Linked DNA regions of Tribolium castaneum. The protein of the gene in region 1 purifies or fractionates together with the protein of each later gene. This does not show direct contact. Links are inferred from orthologs where the notes say so. Each region holds a gene or a part of one and is shown in the gene's direction. Other genes may lie near its edges.

Evidence for each region. Proteins that work in one complex are often made in the same cells at the same time.
Region 2: the proteins of integrin alpha-PS1 (region 1) and CD151 antigen purify together in Homo sapiens (co-immunoprecipitation; 3 studies listed by BioGRID and IntAct, with this or other methods). This does not show direct contact. The link is inferred for Tribolium castaneum from reciprocal best matches to the Homo sapiens genes ITGA6 and CD151.

The regions. Positions count from the first base shown.
Region 1 is NC_087399.1:982,147-985,800, reverse strand, and holds part of integrin alpha-PS1, read left to right. Parts: intron 1-734; coding exon 735-1,005; intron 1,006-1,170; coding exon 1,171-2,118; intron 2,119-2,964; coding exon 2,965-3,190; intron 3,191-3,246; coding exon 3,247-3,406; intron 3,407-3,460; coding exon 3,461-3,621; intron 3,622-3,654. UniProt on the Homo sapiens protein: Integrin alpha-6/beta-1 (ITGA6:ITGB1) is a receptor for laminin on platelets. Integrin alpha-6/beta-1 (ITGA6:ITGB1) is present in oocytes and is involved in sperm-egg fusion.
Region 2 is NC_087402.1:7,271,106-7,274,859, forward strand, and holds the start of CD151 antigen, read left to right. Parts: upstream 1-973; 5' UTR 974-1,127; intron 1,128-3,754. Other genes in the region: wupA (tropomyosin-1, isoforms 33/34), read left to right, coding at 1-240, 336-662, 718-728. UniProt on the Homo sapiens protein: Structural component of specialized membrane microdomains known as tetraspanin-enriched microdomains (TERMs), which act as platforms for receptor clustering and signaling.

The DNA.
Region 1 (3,654 bases):
TTTAGTTATGAATTTTTTAAAATTTTACTAATTTTTTCATTTATCTGCAATTTTCTCGAAAACTATTAGTCGGAGAACAATCATCTTTTTTAAAAAAGATAGGTAATTTAAAGAGCTTTCCAATGATAATACACTTCATAGGGTTATCTCTAATAGTTCCGGAGTTATTGCTCGATAAATGATCCGGACACCCGGAAATCGACCAAAATCGCGACAAAAATTGCAAAAATCAAACATAAAAAAATCGAAGCAATTGATTTTCTTGCACTTTTCAGAACTGGAAAGGGTTGAAAAGGCATAGAAAAATTAAAATAAAAAATAATAATTGTGCTGTTGTGTCAAAAACGACGTGAAACATGATTTGAGAAAAGTCGCGAATATTTAATGCTGTAGTCCTTTGGGTTCTTCGGCTTATTTGAAATTAATGAATAACACAACATTAATGTAATAACCCCGAGAGACCACCTATTTTTGTGGTACTTGAGCGTTTTTCGATGACAATAATTTGAAGTGTGTGTTTTCGCATCATCCTCAGCTTCATTTTTATACAAAAAAATACATGTAAATAGCAGCATTGTACAGCAAAAGGGCCTCGGCCTGTAGTACACGTTTGATATGATTTTTTTTACTAACTCCAAGTTTCAAACCATTTTGAAACCGTTGTTCAGATTTTGTGCATCTTACTAACACTATAACTACGAAAGGAGAAACACGGACTGATTGATTTTTTTTAGTCAATGTTTTCGACTATGAGGACACACCGTCAACGAGAAACGAAGCAGTGCTTTCGCCACCGTCAAACGACGAAATCAAGGATAATCAGTGGCTGGGAGTAACAGTCAAGTCGCAAAAACCGGGCGGAAAAGTGGTGGTTTGTGCACACAGGTACATCCAGAGCCCGAACTTGACTTCACACCACTATGGATACGGGCTCTGCTACCTGCTGAACAACGAGCTGAACGTGGAGGACGCCCTGGAGCCGTGCAAAGGCCGGCCCGTAGAAAAGTAACTAATTTTTCTGCTTTTTAAGAAATTTTGCGCAATAATTGAGTTTTTTTTGAGTAAATTTTTGGTCTAAAAATGTCCTCAGAACTTGCAAAAATAATGTGCTTTGGACATAAAAACTGCCCCCTGACTGTTGTGTGTTAAAAAAATTATTTCCCTCTCTAGATTGCATCAACAGTACGGTTATTGCCAAGTGGGCACAAGTCTCGCCTTCCTCTCCGACGACTTCGTGTTAATGGGATCCCCCGGGCCTTACACTTGGCGCGGGACAATTTTTGCCAAAAATGTAGTCGGTAGTTTCCTCGAACGGGACAAGACCGTCTACAGAGGCCCCCTAAACGACCAAGACACCCCCATAGCCAAGTACAGCTACCTCGGAATGAGCGTAACCGGGGGCCACTTTTTCTCGAAAAAAACCCTAACTTACGTCTCGGGAGCCTCACGCTCCAACCTAAGCGGACAAGTCTTTTTCTTCAATAAAACCAAATCAGAGGAACAGCTCAACATTCGCCTGATAATCAACGGGACGCAGTTCGGGTCCAGCTTCGGTTACGAAATTTTGGCCGTGGATTTTGAACAAGACGGCTACGATGAACTGCTCGTGGCAGCCCCCTTTTACTACGACAAAGACCACGGGGGCGCCGTCTACATTTACAACAATTTGCGCAACTGTACGAGAGATAAGTGCGCCCCCAGTCAGATTTTCACAGGCAAAGCTGAGTCAAGGTTCGGTTTTTCGATGACTGCACTTGGCGATATAAATAAGGACGGTTTTATTGACGTGGCAATTGGGGCCCCGTATGAGGACAATACCGGGGCTGTTTACATTTATCTGGGCCAGAAAGGGGGGCTGAGAAGCGAACCCTCGCAAATTATCAAGTTTGGGGAAAGGGAAGGACTTAAAACTGTGGGCTATTCGTTGAGTGGTGGCATGGATATGGACTTGAATGATTATCCCGATTTGTTAGTGGGGCTGTATGACTCCGAACGGGTTATTTTGTTCAAAACTAGGCCCATTATTGATATTGGGATTAGGGTGGTGGGGGATGAGTTGAGGAATATTAATGCGTCCAAGAAGGGATGTCGGGAGGATCCGCACAGCGACAAAACTTGGTAAGTTTAAAGAATTTTTTTTCAGTAATTATTGTGGCAAAAAAACACAAAGAATATTTCTCGAAAATGAATGAAGTTTGTTTTATGAAAGTTTACTCGTTTCTAAGCAAAAAATCGTCTGAGATAAGCCGTTTTCACCCAAACTATAACATATAGTTTGTCCTTTTGAGGCAAAATAAGGCGTTTTCAGTGTGTTTTATTAAAGTTTTCTCATTTCTAAGCAAAGAATTGTTCGAAATAAGCCGTTTTCACCCAAACTATAACACATAGTTTGTCCTTTTGAGGCAAAATAAGGCGTTTTCAGTGTGTTTTATTAAAGTTTTCTCATTTCGAAGCAAAGAATTGTTCGAAATAAGCCGTTTTCACCCAAACTATAACATATAGTTTGTCCTTTTGAGCCAAAATAAGGCGTTTTCAGTGTGTTTTATTAAAGTTTTCTCATTTCTAAGCAAAGAATTGTTCGAAATAAGCCGTTTTCACCCAAACTATAACATATAGTTTGTCCTTTTGAGCCAAAATAAGGCGTTTTCAGTGTGTTTTATTAAAGTTTTCTCATTTCTAAGCAAAGAATTGTTCGAAATAAGCCGTTTTCACCCAAACTATAACATATAGTTTGTCCTTTTGAGCCAAAATAAGGCGTTTTCAGTGTGTTTTATTAAAGTTTTCTCATTTCTAAGCAAAGAATCGTCTAAAATATGGCGTTTTCAACCCAACATTAACACAAATTTTTCTTTTAAGTCAGAATATGACATTTTCCCTCTGTGTTAAGCACGTTTACTTGTTCCAAAGCAAAGAAATTTTGAACTAGAATAACTGTTGAGCTGTTTTTCTAACACGATTTTTCAGTTTTTCGTTCAAGACTTGTTTCAAATTCCGCAAATTTCGCCTAACTAAGGACATCGACATTCGCTACGAAATCAAGGAATTGCCGAAGAAAGCACCACGTGTAACAATCGGCAACGACACATTTGTCACAAAAATGATCACAGTTACGGATATCTCACGTGAATATTGCACCAGCGAAACGGCCTATCTTATTGAAGGAAACGGCGATATTCTCTCGCCCATTTCGGTAATAAATAAATCGTCCCGCAAGACTTGAAAATGTAAACAGGAAAATATTTTTAGTTCCAAGTAAACTACACGATTTATAAAGACGATGTGGATTCACCAATTTTGAATAAAACTTCAATCAAGACTTTCGAAGCCACGTTCCAGAAAAACTGCGGCCCGGATGACATTTGCAGGAGCAAATTGATTCTAAATGCACGTCCATTGGCACTTAACGGTTGGTTTTATTCACTCAATTGTGTGAAAGAAAAATTGTTTTTTTTTCAAACAGAAACACCCGAGGGTCACTATTTGTTCAATCTGGGGGTGGAGAAGGAACTCATTTTGGAGGCCAATGTCGCAAATGAGGGCGAATCGGCCTACGAAGCGCGACTTTTCGTAATACATCCGGAAAGTCTGAGCTACGTGGCGCTCCAAAGCCAAAATAAATCGGTGTGTTTAAGTGTTTAATTCATTATTATTATT
Region 2 (3,754 bases), on another chromosome or scaffold:
TAATACACGAAAATTACGATATTATTGCTTTACCCGAAACAGTCCTAGCCCCCACTGAAAACAAAGAAGTAGTTTCTATCCCCAATTATTCTTTAGTAGAGAACCGTAAGAATAGTGGCGACGGCGTGGTTTTGTACATAAAAAATTCGCTTAAATATAAAGTTGTTGATTTGACAGCCGATAATCCGGAAGAGCCTCAGTTGAATTTCGATCAACTTTTGGACAAACTGAAACAGAGTGGTAAGTGCTTCATGATCACGCCATCATCAAGCACACCACCATCGTCTCTCATTTAAAAAACTGCCAATTCCTGTTACTATTTACATTTTCTAAAGCTGCAGCAGCTCCGGCGACAGAAGGCGAAACACCAGCAGCTCCTGCTGGAGAGGCTCCTGCCGTTCCTGCCGGAGAGGCTCCAGCCGCTCCTGCTGCGGAAGCTCCGGCCGCTCCTGTTGAGGGAGCTCCAGCGGAAGCGCCCCCTGCAGCTGCAACAGCGGAAACACCAGCAGTGCCGGCGGAAACACCTCCTGCTGAAGCACCACCAGCTGAAGCTGCGCCGGCTGCTGAAGCCGCTCCTGCTGAAACTGCCCCTGCTGAACCTGCCGCTGAAACTGAAACTGAGGTGCCGCCAGTTGAAGCATCAGCTACTCCTATCATTGAAGGTAAAAATCGAAAATTCACGTTATCTGATAGTGTAATCCGTTATCATATTTTCAGCTGCCGCTTAAAAATGAAGCCATATCTGTGCCGCCACGCTGCTATTGTTCCACTTTGTTTTATTATTGAACTGTTTGATTTATTTTATTGTAGTTTTTGAGAAATATATTATTTTTTAGACTTTGTCCATTTGTTTTATTGACGGAAGTGTATCCGAAAATCACTCCCATGGTCATAAACCCATTGTTGCGGTTCGTCCTACCCATCAACTAGTCACGTGATGCAAGAGCACGCGTATGTTAGAAATTTAATCCGTTCCTCCGTCAGTGCGCAACCGACAAGCTGTAGTGAGATATTTTGTGTTGTGTGGTTTGAAAGAAACATCGTGGGTTGAAAAATTAACATAAATTTCTTATTTGGATAAAACTGTGGCAATGTAAACATTCTACAGTCTTGGAAACACAAAAAAAGTAAGTCAAATATTTTTTCTTTTTTTTTTAAATAAATCATTCAACAATTAGATGATTAATATCGAATGCTTAATTCACGTTCTGAATTGGTTTGTTGAGGTAGCATTATTGCTTGTCTTGCCAGGTTTTTATTTCACCAAGGTTAAATGATGTATAGCACATTTAAATTTATTCAAAACTTCCTTTTAACAAAATTTGTCGACGAAAAATAAATAAAATGTAACGCAGACTGTTTAGTCACAAGAACATACTTACTTTTATTTATCAAAGGTTATAAATTATCGTTGATAAAAGGTCGATTGTGACGTAGCGCCATACATTTTTATTATTTTTAATCATTTGTAAAAGTTAAATTAATTTGGCAAATTTCAATTAACACAATAACATAATTGGTTTATTCCCAAAATATAAATGAGAAAAAAGTAATACTAATAATTATTTACACGATGACACTCTTCTGGTATATTTGTGGAGCACCCACCTACCTTGAGTAAATATATATTTTTATTTAGCTTTGAAATTCCTTCCTATTATGACTTCCCAGACAAGCAGAAAATATTACAAGTTTTCTAATTTTAACACGTACGTGACAATTAAAAATGTGTTTTCAAGATAATGTATCTTCTAACAAGATTTTTAAATAATTCACGTCCGAAACCGTGTTTAAAAAACATTGCGAGATTCTAGGTTTAAAATTATCCCCTGTATTGAGTTGCATTTTGTAATAATTTTATTTCTGTATGCGAAGTATTGCGAAGCCAGTGGAGAGGATGTAATCTTGACTGGCAACTTTGAAAATCTATTGGACGTCCAAATTTACTAGTGCTAAAATTGTGCTAAGTGCTAAAATGATAATTGGTTTCAATGTTTTCCTGCACGCGAAATAAATCGTATTTCAACGAGTGCAAGTCGGATCAAAGAACGCCTAATAAGGTTTCCTTACATCATTAAAAATCTTGACCAGAACCCGACCTCGTGGTTTTATAAATTCTGAGAGTATAACCACTGGTATGTCCGTTTATTCAAATCGAATTACCTACCTAGTTATTAAAAAAAATACGCTTTTTGAGTGTTGCAACAGGATTTGATGTTAATACTGAGATTTCGGGTTTTCCAGTGATACAACATGATAAGTCATGTATTGTTTTTATGTTAATTTTAGTTGTCCTTTTTGGATGCTTGCCATTTAAATTTTAAAATCTTTGACGACGTAATCGCACTTGCGACAAAGTCCAGAATGACATTTTCAGTTGGAGATTCTGAATTTTTTTTAGATGGCACCATCGAACTTTACCTCCGGTTAACAATTTTACGTTAAATATTTGCCAAGGAAAGCCTTATTATCTGGGTACAGTGTTGCAAACTGTTAGCAAACATACTTTCAAGTCAACAGAAAGTCATTTTGGATCACTTCGTATGTAGTAAATTATCGTAGATTTTTTGTGTTGTGTTCGGCAATTTGGTGAAAATAAAAAACAGTGACCAAGAACGATAGTTTGAGTTGGCATTACTGAATTTAAGATGTACTTCCCTTTAGTTAAAGTAAATAGAAAGATAAGCCGCAAACTTGTTACGAAACATGTATATGCTGAACAAATAAAAATAATATCCGGTTGCAGTATTCCTCTTAAAATTTTGTTGCCAACTTAAACAGCCAATTTTAAGTACATGGTAAGTATAACTTATAATTAATTGTATCAGAAGTGATTAATATTTTTTTTCTTTTCTCTCCTCAAAACTGAGTGAAAATTGAAAATAAAACATGGTACATGATAAATCCATTTATTTTAAGTTTTTTTGAAATTTGACGAAATAATCCTATAACAATAAACAATAGAAATAAAAAAGCAGACTGTATATTCTTTATCTCGACCTTATCAACCTGAAAAACGCTCTTATCTATGGTTTGATGACAAGAGAAATTTTTGTAAACTCTTGAAGGGATTATTACAAATTTAAAATTTTTGGGAACATATTTTTATTAGTACTACAGTGGTGTCCGAAAATGCATCAAATTCAGTTTGTTGTATCCGAGGTTTGCCATAAGCGGTAATAAAAAAGTGTCGTTTTAGCAGTTATTTTTACTTTACATGTGAAATAAAACGAAATAAATAAGTACACGTCCTATTGTAAACAAAAACTTGAATCCCTTACGAAACAGTTATAGATTCGGAAGAAATGTATGAGAGATTTGGTCTGATCTCTGAGCTTAGTTCTTCAAATTCTTTTACACTGACTTAAAATTAGCAAAAACTACAACAGGAAAACAAGTCCTGACACAAAAAAAAATAAAAATGTAAAAATTTGTTAAATGTACCTAAAAGTTTGTTATGAACGGGAATTGCATCACATTTCAAATCAAATCTAGTTCGTTATATCCGGAAGATCGTTATAACCGGGTTCGTTATAGCAGGACTCTACTGTATTTTGATTTCATATGAAATCCAGTACGAAATTATGTGTTTGGCAAAATATTTGTTTATTTATTTTATAGCGGATTTACTGACATTTTTAAGCATACGTAACGTACTTAAATGCCTAAATACGAACTTTAATCTCGCCTTTAATACATATTTGGAATAAAATCATAGTTTATGGAAAAATTATTATCATGAGGATCTATGAAT